Linked DNA regions of Oryzias latipes. The protein of the gene in region 4 purifies or fractionates together with the protein of the main gene of each other region. This does not show direct contact. Links are inferred from orthologs where the notes say so. Each region holds a gene or a part of one and is shown on either strand. Other genes may lie near its edges.

Region 1 (3,572 bases), on a different chromosome or scaffold from region 4:
ACCTGCCTCTGCCCTCTTGCCATGAATTCCTGATTCAGCAACTCTCATAGGGTGCAACTGAACTGCTGTCATCCATGATGCAAAATGCACTAAATTCCTCGATATTGGCTTTTAAAAAAAATCCCTCCCTAATCATCTTTTGATCCGTTTTAATAGCATAAGCATTGAAGAGCTGTACAGTTTTGAGCCAGATACCAGCTCAGGCAAGGAAAACGTGTATATTGATGACATAAATGGATCTAGTCGTCTACTGGTGGATACATCAGAATGGGGCGGAGCTGGGACCTTGTGACCCGGCCATCGTATTTTTTAAATCACAAATATGATCTCTTTCAAACATGATTTCTTCATTCGCCACTGAATCACAACAGTTTGAATGAAGAAATACTCAAAATTGCAAGTTTAAGTTAAATTTTCTTGTAAATGTCCCCCATCATCATTAAGAAATGCTGGAGGAGGAAAAATGCCCCACCCACACACACACACACACACACACTGCGAAAAAACTGTGACAAAATAAGCCAAATATGTTCAACTTTAATTCCATATCAAAATCTTAAACATTTCTGCTGCTAGAAACTGGAAAAAAAAAAAAAGGTTCATTCACTTTGTAAGAACTATCACATTGAACCTATATGCAAAAAGAAACAAAAAGTTGTGTTAATGGCTTTAATATCTGTGTTAAAGGTTTTTTCACTCTTGAGGAATTGGAGTAAAAGTTTTTTTATAGCTCGAAATTGAACTTGATGCTTCTTTTATCTAAATTCTAAATTTATATGTACCTCAACAAATAAAATACTTGGAAAATAATTTCCACTACAGCACAGATTTTTCTCCTTTAAAAATTCTTTAGCCTTTTAACTGTGAAAAACAAACAAAAAAACAACTAAAAATGAGCTCCAATATGTCTGGGTATCATTGAAATTCCTGTCCAAGTTTGTCCATTGTTTGCAGTTTTTGCTGCCTGCAAGCTTGTCTGCCACAACGCCACAAACGCCCTTGTATTCACATTAACCCTTGTGTCTGTTTCCCCTCTCCAACTACTCCTCCTACTCTTCCTCTTCTTGTCTCTTTCCTCCTCTTCCTCTATGCACCCCATCTGCCTAACTGCAGTTTCATGTAAGTTGGTTCCATTCATTCAACCTTTTTTTTCTCTCAGGGCTGGGTTTATCAACAAAACGCTGAGTCAGTGTATTCTTTACGTTTTTTATTTATGGGTACAAAAAGTTTTATTACATCTGTTAAGTAATATGTTTTTCACTATTTTAAAGTATATACTGTATGTTAAAGTAAATCTGTCATTTTTTGTTGTTACCCAGCCCTGCTTGTTCCTAATGGTATATATTTAAAAACAAGGTTGCAATGGTGTCAGGTGTCACGGCCTGCGTCACGGCTGCAAGACCTCAGTCAACTTCGAAATGTGTGTTTTTCTGTTGTATGTCTGATCTTGTTCGAGTGGTACTGGAATTTAAATTTCCCCTTGTGGGATTAATAAAGTATAATTAAATTGAATTGAATATTATTGAAATGTAGCTTTCAAATACACATGTATGTACTTTGATTGGCCCTTTACCACATTCTTGCAAACATGCATGCCAAGTTTTGTCTTGATTTTGTTTTTCTTCTTTTTGTGTGTAACTTTTAAATACTGACCTCACATATTTGCTCATTTATTTAGTTTTTCTTTTGGTATTTCTGATAGTTTTGTGACTCTCTATGTTGATATTTTGGCTGCTCATTTGTTTCCTAGCATCCTTTGTTTACTCTTATAGAAAAATGGATTCTAGTTTTTATTCCCTCACTTAGGGGTGAATATAGAGATCTAGACTGTACTGTTTTGTTTTTTTTGGTTGCTGTCATTTTTTCAAAATCAACAAAGAAGACATCTTTTGAAGTATCTCAATAAGACCTAATCGGAGTACAGGCTTTTTATTCTTAATGCTTTTGATTTGAAATGGTTTTTTTTTCTTACTTTAAATCTTAGAACATTCATTTTTCAAAATAAAATACCCATTAGTTCTTCTATTGTAAATAGTTAAGGCTTTGGGTTTTATTTCTCGTTTTTGAGCTTTAACTCATGTTTTTATGTTATGTTGTTTACTTAAGATCTCTTAATGTTTGAAGAGCATTTTTTTTTTTACTTTAATCTCTGTTTTACTCTGTCATTTCCTCCAGTGGACAACCAGCACATGCTGCACTACATTCGGGATAAAACCGCAGTCCCATATTTCAGTAACCTGGTGTGGTTTATTGGTAGCCATGTCATCGAGCTGGACAAGTGTGTGCAGACAGATGAAGAGTAAGTTCTGCAGGCTCCTGCAGTGGCTTTTAGAGGTCAGGTTTGTGTCAGGAATGTTAGCTTTATCTTCCTTCTAGATTACCTGTTGATTTACAACCCCCCCCCCACACACACACAAAAATGCCATGTGTCTGCATCTACCTCAGGCATAAGAACAAAGGAAAGCTGAGTGACCTGGTAGCGGAGCATCTCGACCATCTCCACTATCTGAACGACATCCTCATCATCAACTGTGAATTCCTGAACGACGTGTTAACTGATCACCTCCTAAACCGCCTCTTCCTGCCCCTCTACGTTTACTCCTTGGTTTGTCCTGAAATAGTATGTTCAATTTAATTCAATTCATTTTTATTTATGTAGTCCTAGAACTAGACAGACCCTGGGCATCCCTGCCCTTAGACACTCATTTTCGGTTACCCACTGTCACACCTGACTGACTTGGTTCCATTCATGCTGTTGGATTTAAGTGAAGATCTTTAAAATAAAAAAAAATAAAAAATTTAATTTACCATGCATGTCTTTATAATGCAATGTGTTTCTGTGTCATTTTTTAACATTTACTTCTTGTCTTTTGAATTGAATCATCAGTACTTTTTGGGTAATTTTTTAATAAAGTTTATTTGTAGTTTTTTTTTTTTTTGTTATTTAACGTTTCGCTCAGATACCTGACTCTTCCTCAGCATGGTTGACACTTGAAGCTATATCTTCATTTAAGTCACCTAATTTTATTTTTGAAAATGCGAACATCTGTGAAAAAGTGAAAAAATCTGATTTTCCAACTTCTCCATTCCTGTTTGACACCAATATTCACATTTTCATATTTAGAAACTAAGTGAACACTTGAAAAAACAACGAACGTGTACATTACGGTAAACAATAAATGTGGTCTATTTGAACCATTTTTCTTAACTTCTCTTTTCTTTTTTCAGTCTGAAGAACGGAAGATTAACCCTCAGGTGTCCCTTTACCTGCTGTCTCAAGTAAGCAGCACAGCTAACACTGGTCATGACCAAAGTGCCTCATTGATGTATCAATCATTCTTTATCAGCTTTTTGAAAGGCTCAGTATGTATTTCATTCATACTATAAAGTTGCGTTCATACCAAACATCATTCGCACAAAAAATTTGCATCGGCCGCCTCTCATTCCCTGGGTGGCATATTCTCTGCTTGCCGCCTGTCCAAAAATGTGTTCCTTAGCTTGATGCCCTGGCCGCGTTGGGAAGAGCTTCCAGCTTATGTTTTTAGCTTAATTGCTACATGGAGCAGTGTCGT
Region 2 (3,572 bases), about 16 Mb from region 4:
CACACGCGCGCTACCTGTTTGGTTAGGTCCATCACAGCAGCGTAGGACTCTGCCAGGAGGTGTTGGTGTTCCGCGCGTTCCTTCTTTAGCGCCACCTTCAGGTCTGAGGTGTCTAGTGTTTCACTTGGAGAAAGAGTTACGGTGGCTTTGCCAGATTTGGCCTCAAGCTGGAAGACAAAAACAAAAACCTTCATAAAAATGGTTCCTTTTTTTGTACTGAAATGTGAAAACATTAGATTTGTCTCAACAATTTTAAAAGACATTAAACTTAATTTGCGTTGTATACACAGAAAATGTGCTTGGAGAGGAAAATCCATGTAAATAAACAAATTAACTAACTTTGTAATCAGACAAATTTGGTCCTCAAAACAAGAGGAGTCATTGATTTTAACTAAAAAAAAAGAGTCAGATCATTAGAAATTAAAATTAAAAAGCATCTCATTTAATCAAACATTGTCTTTTTTCAAAAATGAATAAATAGTTACCCCTGCAAAAATGATAACTACCTTAATATATAATATATCTAACACATTTCAAATGCAACCATGTGATAAAGCTAAAGCTTTTTTTACTATAATAAAACAAAAAAACCTGAGGCAATGCCCACATTATATGCTCGAAAACAAATATTATTAGGCAAATATATATATGTATATATATATATATATATATATATATATATATATATATATATATATATATATATATATATATATATATGCTTGCTTAAATGCACAGTTCAATCTGAAGCAGCTATTAGAAGAACTGAAGGTTGGTTTCCTGGTCTTTGTAAAACATTGATGCGTAAAGTGATCAGAATCATCGTTTTGCTTAAATGAGACAAAAAACATCTCATTAAACATTTGAACAGTGCAGATCAGGAAGAGTGATAATGGTTTGTGAATACTTCTAAGAGTTTTATGAAGATGTACTTAATGACAGTTTGAGCTAAGGCTGCAATGTAAAGAAACCGACTTGAGCAGATGGTAGAGGTAATTGATAAATGATTAACTGGTTGGTAAAAAAAATGTATTATGCACATCTGTCTTGTGAAGTCCCACCTTTGCCTCTTTGCACCGTCTCTGAACCTTCCTGTCAGTCCTCCTCTCCCCCCAAACCCTTTTCACCCTCTCTTTGCACATTTCCTCAAGCTTCCGTGCTGCTGCATTTTTCTCACCCTTTATTTAGAGCATTCTCACTCTGAATCTGGCTGCTGTCACTGATCCTGTAGGGGGGATCACTTCAACTTCTTATAAGCAGTTCTGCATTTTTTTCCCGCCCCTGTTTGAGCCTCAGGGTCTATAGCAGCCCATCTGCTTGACAAACACACCCAGACCCATCTATCTGCTCTCTGCCTTTCTGTTTGCCTCCGTGGCATTTGTGTTAGCAGCTAATGAAAATGTCAGGTAACTTATCACAGCGAAACACCCACAGACTTAGCCCAGCTCCAGTCTCCATAGACTAACAACGAGGTTCCCTGTAAAATGGTGACTATACTTCTTTGGATGACAGCTGCTTACTGGTGGATCAATGACGCTTGATTTTAAGCAGGTACACCTACTTTAATTTATGAACTTGAATGTGTAAAATCGCACAGAGGAACAGTGATTACATTTTACGAGAATAACCCAGAGGAAAAAAACATGAAAACTAAAAAAAAGGGCAATAAATAAAAGGGTTGATAATGATTTGTCTTTGAATAAGATGTTCTTATTAAGGTAAAGATGACTACATTTTAATAAAAAGACAATATATATTTTGGTTTTAAAGCTTAAAAAAGAAAATTGTACCTTTTTTAGAAAGTCAAAGTTGCCTGCATGATCAAATAATAAGTTACCACCTTAACTGGTTTGGAGTTCTAGAAATGCTGACATGCAGAGCTGCTAATATAATGAATATATTTTAAAGGTTATGCATACAAATTGATGATGAGCAGTAGCAGATCACAGGCTCGTCTCTGTGAAAATCCCTGCCATGCAATATTGATCTTTCTTTTTTGTCCTTTTACATTCTCTCCATCTTTACACACTGCTACAAACAAAAGATGAAGTGTAAGCTTTCGCTGAAAAACTTTATCCTGGATTATATAAGAAAGTAATATATAGCTGGTTAACATCTGCCTTCAGGTCAAAAATGCCTTAAAGAAGTGGTGTTGAAACCAAACGAGCTAATATGTTTTTAAGTTACATGTATAATTTTCAAAATCTAGCAGATTTTTTTGTGTTTTGTTGTGTTTTTTGGTGACTTTTACATGTCTTGTGAAAAAATAATATGCAGATTTTCCCACTAAGACTTCCAGATTTTTTTGTAACATATAAAACATTTCCTTTATTGATTTTGTAGATGTTTGTGACATATTATTTAATCTATACATTAAAAAAAATTAAGACGTTTTATGTTTTTGTGCATGCAATAAATTGCTGTTAAAACTGTTGTGGATTTAAGGACCTGTTATGGATTTTTAGCTGTTTTAAAAGTGTTCCCATTGGTAATTATGGTTATGCCGTTCTTAGCCAAAATTTTAAAAAAACCTGGGTTGTTTTCAAGGACATAGTTTCTGCAGAGCAGCAGTAGTTCATTAGAAATTCACCTCTGAGTTGTGGGCAGGACCACCTGCTCCTGATTCACAATGATTTGAACAAAGAAATACTCAGAAATGCATTTTAAGCGTATTTTTCTTCATATATGTCCTCCATCATCAGAAAAATGCAAAATGTTAAAAACAGCAAAAACACAATATTCATCCATGTAGATCTTTAAATGGTCTCGCACTATATGCTAACTTTGCCCTTTGAAGGATCTCTGTCAAACTGTAGAGGTGCTAGAAAGAACTTTTTGAATGCAAAAAGTTAAATGAAAAGATTTAATTCAGGTAATGGATCAAAGGTTTGTCAATGAAAAATCGTATGAATGTAGTGAGAACTTTACAATCAAGATGTCAGTGAACCATTTATTACTACTTCATTTGCATACAAAGAATATAGAATATACTCGCATATTAACCAATAAATCATACCTCTCTACATTAGGGAATTGGATAAACAGATGTGATACAGAAGGGATCAGAGAGTGCAGCTGTTCGCTCAGTCATTACAGATATGACAGCAATGACAATGTGTGTGACAGTCATGATGGATCGCTATTAACCAAAAGGACTTGAAGCATCAGTGCAGAACTTATAAGATCTTTATATCTTTATAAATTATCAAAACAAAACAAAAATTGTATTATCTGTCATGCTCTCAGCACTTTGGACGTTGCTGACAGTGTTTGTCTATACGCCTGAACAGTGGGGATAATTTCTCATCCAGCTGTCTGACAAGCAGAGCAGTGTTTGGAATTGAGTTGACTTGTTGAGAAGTGTCTGCCATGTGTGGTCTCACACAGAGACACACACTCACAGAAACACACACACACTCACAGACCTCTGTGGTAAATTGATTGCTTAGATCAAAACGTGCATTGCTTGGTATGGAGATTGTATCCAACTGTGGCATCTAGGTCAGGGTAAAACAGCCACGCACCCCTGAGCGCGCACACGCAAACTCAGAGTTGCACTATGCAGGCGTCGA
Region 3 (4,175 bases), on a different chromosome or scaffold from region 4:
TGGTCATTGAATCAGGTTAGCGTATCTTTACAGACTGGTAACAGTCTGTGGGTCACTTGGCACCAGGCCCCATAATGTTACTTTACTTATAAAAACACATTTTCTGGGCAGTTGTGTTATTTTGTTTTGCTATATTTATCTGCCACACCTTAAAGGTCCAATGAGGCTACAAATAGCCTCTTTTTTTCTTGAACTTCCACTTTAATAGTTCGGGAAAAGGTCTTAAATTTACTGGGTCCTACACCAAAATGAAAAGTTCTAAGTCTGCTAAAAATGTCTGTAGATTTTATATAGAGAATGGCAATAAAACAAAACAAAACAATGCTGCTTGTTTGTGGTAGTTGTTTCTGATTTGTGATAACTTGTAAAAACAGGACATTTAGGACATTTTTCAAAAGGAAAACTAAATAATAAAGGTCTCTGATAAGAAACTAATACTCCTATGTAGTAAAAATAAATATAAAATGGTTCAAGATTTAATTTAAAAACAAAATATGATAAAATTTTTTTGTCCTGAAGCATAACCAGAGCCTGAATTGAGTTGACCCAGTGCTTTAGTCTTCTCACAAAGGATTGTAATTTAGCTTTTATCCAATTTTCATTCATCAGAAGCACCTTTTCACATGTCAGCAACTTTGTTCTATTCAATCTATGTCTCCTGTAAAAATCTACAGACCTTTTTTATAATGACTTTTTTCTTTAGACTTTATGTAGAAACCTTGACTTGATAAATACATTTCCTCTATATTGCCCAACATTAAACTGGCCAAACATTGTTGTGTTTCCAGCTAAACATTAATGAAAAACACATTTAGTTATTAAAAAAGAGGTTTATTCTGAACTTACTCTTTTTCTTTGGACTGCTTTTCCACTGCTGTTAGACAGTCCCACTTCTTTGTGGCCTGTTTCTTACACATGATCAAGACCATGTCTGTTTTGATCTGTTGCAAAAAAAAGTAGTAAGAAATTAGTGACATAGAAAAAATACAATTGTAAAAACAAAGGGGACATATATGCCGAATAAATGGATATGTAATCCAAAAAATTCAGTGAGCAAATTTTTAGGTTCCAAAATCCTTTGTTGGTTTTTTGTTTGCTGATTCGGAAGAGTATGAAAACTGGGAAGGTTTTTTGATAAAAAAAGAAAGAAAAAAAAAGGGGGCTGACATTTTGGTACCAAATTTTGCAAAGAATACTTTTTTCAAAAACAAAAACATGGTGCTACTGGTTCAAACAAACACTGGAGGAACATTTAAAGGACAAGAGAAAAAGTGACTCACCTTTTTGTAGCTGTCCTTTTCATCAATTGGATGTAACAAGTTGAGCACTGACATCTGGTGATTTTTCCCATTTAGATTCTTTACCAAAACAGAGAAAGACCTGAACCAAGACAAAATTAGGCTTAGCATAAAAAAATGTATGAATGCTCCTTACAAAACTGTAAGATAAGTGGATTTACCTTTCAGTGAAGTTGACTTCAACATTTTCTGCTGGGATTTTGTCAACACCTTTCAAATCCAGGTAAATTTTAACAAATTTGTCTGACTGGTCCCATGCTACAGATACAAAAGATAAAACCACAAACAATTCTTCAAATCTTTCTTTTTTTTTTTTAGTTCCAAACACTTGTAATCTCTCAAACATGCTCCATACCATAGTTGGTGATTTTAGTTGTGTATGGTGCTTTAGAGCCTGCTGTTGGATCGGCTTCTCTCTTAGCCTGCTGCTCCTGCTGATGTCGTTTCGTTGCAAGCTCTTTTTCCACTTTCCTCTGCTCCTGTTTCAGCAGCTCCTGCACCCTTTTCCTCTCAGACTTCTCCAGGAGGGAACTAAGCTCCTGCAAGTCTGCTTCCAGCTGACTGATCTGTTAGAAAAATGAGGAACAACCACTGCACAAGCTGATCTTGATGAAGCAAACTATTTGTATCAAGTCTGTTTTATTTATTTATTTAACTTATATATAGCTTCTTCTAAAACAGTACAATTTAAAAGTTTCATTTTCCTGACTGGAAATTCTACATCTAACCTTTACTTAAGTCAGTTAAGAACCAATTCAAATGTGTGAACTGCTAATGATGAGATCTGCAAGTCCCTTATGGAAATGTTTTAACGTACACTGTTCGATTAAACACATTTATGCAAAGACATGATTAAGAAATTCACCTAAAAACATAAAAAAGCATTAATTAAAAGCAAAACTCACATGATTTTAATCAAAATATAAAAACCAAAGCAAAGCATGGCTCTATTATGACTTAAGTTTAATTATCACGACATATAATAAAATAAACCTCAACATTTACGAGTAAGGATATTCAATAGCATCCAATAGGAATTGAGATATTGTCGCTTTCAATCGTTTTTCTATCATTTAAAATGCTATAAAGCAACTCCGAAGGAAGTGTAGCGCAGAACCCGCGAGCGTGATGTTGCTAGAAGGTTCTAGTAAACTTCATGAGCACAACTGAACGTCAATCATCACAGGGACTTTTCTCGCCCTCAACGTTTGTCACTGTGACAAACTAAACAAGCTTTTCAAACAATCGTCTAAAAAAATATACAGACAGAAAGAAACAAAGCAAAGCATACAAAAAAATCCGTTAAGGGCAAGCGGCTAACCGACAGCTAACACAACACATCGCCCAACTATTGAGACCGACGTAAATTTAACAAACTCATCCAAATAGACAATGATTTTTTCTTCTAAAATAATACTTTGGCCAAGACATGTTTCTTACCTGTTCCGTTAGATCCATTCTGGTTCTTCAAATTCCACTCAGTTTTGTCAAGCAGCACAGCTCTTCGCAGTGAGGAGTTCTAACAATTTGGTTTGGCCCTCTTTAGAATTATTTCCTGCTGTTAAAAGTTCCTTTAATCTCATTACTGCCACCCAGTGGTTGGAATAAGTAAGATCAGAACAATACACAACAGTAAGATATATTTATTTTAAATTTAGCAGATTTTACGTACTGTAAATTACTAGTGGCAATATTTATACTCACGAGTTATTTTTTATTTTATTTTAAAGCAGCTATTTCTATTTAGGGTGAGTATATGACCTGACAACAAAAACATTTAGCAACTTGTATCACTGGGACACTTTATTTATTTTTTTTTAGAAATACCATCATGTTCAAATTAAACACCATAAATTAATCCTTTAATAACACTGTGAAGCTTCAAACAGCCGTGTTGAAAATTACACAGCACATGAATGCTTAATGATGGCTTTAACTTTTCACATCAGTAGATCATTCAGAAGCATTTTTCTCCACAATAAACACAGTGTTTGTGTTTATTACCACCACATAAAAAAGAAGGAAAAAAAAAACAGGACACTTTTGTACAACAATATTTATTATGTTTTGTTTTTTTTTACTCTTAGTCGAGCTTAAATACTCAATATTTGCATTACTTCTTTAAGTTCACACAACATTCTAGAAATCTGCAACCTGCATTGCTTTGTTAACACACAATCTTACAGACGAATCCAATAGACCACATTCACCACCTTGCCCTGAGAATCCCTGACATCTGGTTGTGGTCAGCTAGGTGTCGGAATACAATTCGACTCAGTCGCCACCTCCGCTTCACTCCTCGGGGCCGGGAAGTCATCACACACCTGTTGCGTATCCTCACAGGGCAGCTATCTCTCGGGAGTGCTGCAATTTCTTTGTCTGCTATCTCCTATGAAGACAATTAGACAGGGTTTAGGGATTGTCCGCTACTGGTGTACTTTCAGCTGTTTGACATATATTGTGTGTGCAACTAGAACTTTTGTAAAATCGTGACTCTTTAAATAATAAGAGCATACTGTCAAACTTATGGTGTGGCACAATGAGGAACTAGTTGTAAATAGGAAGCTGGAGCCTACCTGAAGCTCTTTAGGCAGGATAGTATTCTTTCTTAATGCATTGATCCGTAGCCTTTCATCTGCATAATCGAAGGCCATCTGTCTTCTTTTGACGTCCCTCAGCATCCTCCAGTCAACATAATAGCTTCTCATCTGCTCCACAGCTCCCCAGCAGCTTCTTAGTGCCTGCACACAACACACATCAAGTTTCTGACAGGTTTCTCTCCATTTACCACACATTTGCAATCTATTTTCTCTGGTTTTAAGTTTTCACTTGATCTTAGTTCTGTAATGCAAGAGGTGCTTGACAAAATATTGTAAA
Region 4 (2,348 bases):
AGATCCTGGAGTAAGATCAATTCCCCCACTTGGTAATCTAAAATCAAACCGCTTTTGAATTTTCATGTGGTTCCTAACCCTTTTGCATCTCTTCAGGTGGGTGAACTCCATGCAGCCTGCCAGGGTGACTCGCTGGGGGGGCATGATCTCCACGCCGGACGCTGTGCTCCAAGCTGTCATCAAACGCTCGCTCATCGACAGCGGCTGCCCCCTCTCAATTGTGAACGACTTGATCGAGAATGCCCACGAGCGAAACTGGCCTCAGGGACTGGCCACTCTCGAAACGCGGCAGATGAACAGGCGCTACTACGAGAACTATGTTGCCAAGCGGATTCCTGGCAAGCAGGCAGTGGTGGTGATGGCCTGTGAAAATCAGCATATGGGGGAGGATAAAATACTGGAGCCCGGCCTGGTTATGATCTTTGCCCACGGAGTGGAGGAGATCTTATAACTTTATCACAAGTTGAGCTCTTCCAGAGACAAGTTGCTCTTTTCACTGTAGCGTGGAAAAGGTCTTTTCTGTTTTGTTTTCTTCTTTGAAGTGAAACCTGGAATAAATCTGGCTTCTTAAAAATAAACTCTTAGGCTCACTCTTGAGTTTACTATCTATGCCTTAAAATAAGGACAAATACTTTATGAACCTGGCAAATATAAACAAAATCTGACATGGATGTATAAGGTTAAAAGTGAGATGTTTACAACGTTTATATTTAGTGCATTATATGAAGATTGTTCTGCTCTTGAAGGGATTTTTTTTCCTTACTTGTGATGTGTGGAGTACCTATGAGCATTTCGTGTTTACCTGATCATCCTTATGAACAGTATGTTTTTAGGTTGATTTTAAAAAGAGAACCACATTTATTCACAGCTAAACGCTAAGCAGAAATGTTTGTCCATCCAGTTTTCTCTTCAGATCGAGTTATTTCTGATGCTGAGAAAATGTTTTTCTCATGATTGTCACACTGGCCTGCAGGTTGGACGGTATCTGCTCAGACGTACTTCACAGCTGCTTTTCCAGGGAGTTTTAAAAAGGAAAAAAAATCCTTTTTTTTCAAAAATGGTAAAGCTTGAACCCCATTTAATGCCCTCTCTTGTACAAATTGCTTGTAAATACAAATACTATGTAGAATTCTAATTGTTCCACTCATCACTGTAATTATAATTGTAATTTTATGTCGGCTGTGAGCTGATGTTACCGTTTGCAGGCAACTCTGTGATTTTCGCTGTTTTTCCACTAGACGTTGTGCTTCTTACTTTAGATTGTTCAGACCTTCTGTGCCATTTGTTTTATTTATTGCGTTGCCTTTTTTGCAAAAAAGGTTTAAAGGTGTTATTTGTTTTTTTTTTTTTTAAAAAGGCGCCTTTTGGAGTGAACCTATAGGCCTGAGGATGAACGGATTTGTGTTTCCTTTTGATGCCTCGGTTGTACATATCTGTATTTTGGATCCAGTTGAAGTGTTAAATCTTAAGTCCTAATATATGAAATCTTATTAGATATCAGTTCAATTTAAGTCAATAATTCACTCTTATGCTAAGTCATCCATGTATTTTCAATTATTAAAATGTAGGTATAAGTACTGTCATTTACGGAAAGCATATTTTTAGTCACATGTACGAATGAAAGATTGTAGACATATTGTTAAAATCACTCATTTGAGAAGAAAAATGCTTTTCATTAGTCCTTTATTGCTGTAGTATTACAAAACTACAACCAATGGCTTATAAATCTTCAATATAAAACTGTTCTTTGTTATTTTCCATGTCAGTGTTTTGTTTTTGTCTGTTATGTACTGTTTTACAGGCTAAATGTAATAAAAGTTCAAACATTTTCTCACTAAGTTTATTTGAATCACCTGATTTTAAAAAGCTAAAGAAAAAAACAAAAAAACATGTAATTCTGCATTTTACCTCAGCATGTCATCAAAGGTCCACATCAGAAATGAATAATGACAGGAGAAGACTGAAAAGAAGGTGTTTTGGAGATCTGGAGTAAAGAGGTACTCGTGTGGATTATGAAACAGAAAAGGCCATTTTAACTACTGATTCCAGACAGAGGTCTGACCTCACTGGCTCTTGTCCTCAACGTCTAACATGGACACCCACATGATTTCCCTTTTTGTTTTTGTTCGTTTTTCTCTTCTGTCAGGTTCATCCACATTGTAGAGCTTAATCCTCAACCATTGTGATCAGTGGAATGTGAAATCACGCTCTACGCTGTGCCTCATTTACTGTCAGTTTGCATTATGTGGTCAGATGCTGCATGGTGTGCAGCTTTCCCAAATGTTGGTTTACATGTTTAGTGAATTAAGCTAAACCCCAAAACTAAGGAAACGTGTGACCTGTAGTCT

What was found.
Region 1: the proteins of rnf41 (region 4) and clec16a purify together in Homo sapiens (affinity purification with mass spectrometry; 3 studies listed by BioGRID and IntAct, with this or other methods). This does not show direct contact. The link is inferred for Oryzias latipes from reciprocal best matches to the Homo sapiens genes RNF41 and CLEC16A.
Region 2: the proteins of rnf41 (region 4) and soga1 purify together in Homo sapiens (affinity purification with mass spectrometry; 3 studies listed by BioGRID and IntAct, with this or other methods). This does not show direct contact. The link is inferred for Oryzias latipes from reciprocal best matches to the Homo sapiens genes RNF41 and MTCL2.
Region 3: the proteins of rnf41 (region 4) and cacybp purify together in Homo sapiens (affinity purification with mass spectrometry; 4 studies listed by BioGRID and IntAct, with this or other methods). This does not show direct contact. The link is inferred for Oryzias latipes from reciprocal best matches to the Homo sapiens genes RNF41 and CACYBP.

The regions. Positions count from the first base shown.
Region 1 is NC_019866.2:16,880,642-16,884,213, forward strand, and holds part of clec16a (protein CLEC16A), read left to right. Parts: intron 1-1,113; coding exon 1,114-1,119; intron 1,120-2,175; coding exon 2,176-2,299; intron 2,300-2,445; coding exon 2,446-2,620; intron 2,621-3,228; coding exon 3,229-3,279; intron 3,280-3,572. UniProt on the Homo sapiens protein: Regulator of mitophagy through the upstream regulation of the RNF41/NRDP1-PRKN pathway. Mitophagy is a selective form of autophagy necessary for mitochondrial quality control.
Region 2 is NC_019865.2:5,989,307-5,992,878, forward strand, and holds part of soga1 (protein SOGA1), read right to left. Parts: intron 168-3,572; coding exon 15-167; intron 1-14. UniProt on the Homo sapiens protein: Microtubule-associated factor that enables integration of the centrosomal and Golgi-associated microtubules on the Golgi membrane, supporting directional migration. Preferentially acts on the perinuclear microtubules accumulated around the Golgi.
Region 3 is NC_019875.2:24,410,126-24,414,300, forward strand, and holds the start of cacybp (calcyclin-binding protein), read right to left. Parts: upstream 2,870-4,175; 5' UTR 2,757-2,869; coding exon 2,739-2,756; intron 1,865-2,738; coding exon 1,654-1,864; intron 1,557-1,653; coding exon 1,460-1,556; intron 1,381-1,459; coding exon 1,281-1,380; intron 942-1,280; coding exon 847-941; intron 1-846. Other genes in the region: mrps14 (28S ribosomal protein S14, mitochondrial), read right to left, coding at 3,505-3,687, 3,875-4,039. UniProt on the Homo sapiens protein: May be involved in calcium-dependent ubiquitination and subsequent proteasomal degradation of target proteins. Probably serves as a molecular bridge in ubiquitin E3 complexes. Participates in the ubiquitin-mediated degradation of beta-catenin (CTNNB1).
Region 4 is NC_019865.2:22,240,750-22,243,097, reverse strand, and holds the end of rnf41 (E3 ubiquitin-protein ligase NRDP1), read left to right. Parts: coding exon 1-10; intron 11-96; coding exon 97-451; 3' UTR 452-1,830; downstream 1,831-2,348. UniProt on the Homo sapiens protein: Acts as E3 ubiquitin-protein ligase and regulates the degradation of target proteins. Polyubiquitinates MYD88. Negatively regulates MYD88-dependent production of pro-inflammatory cytokines.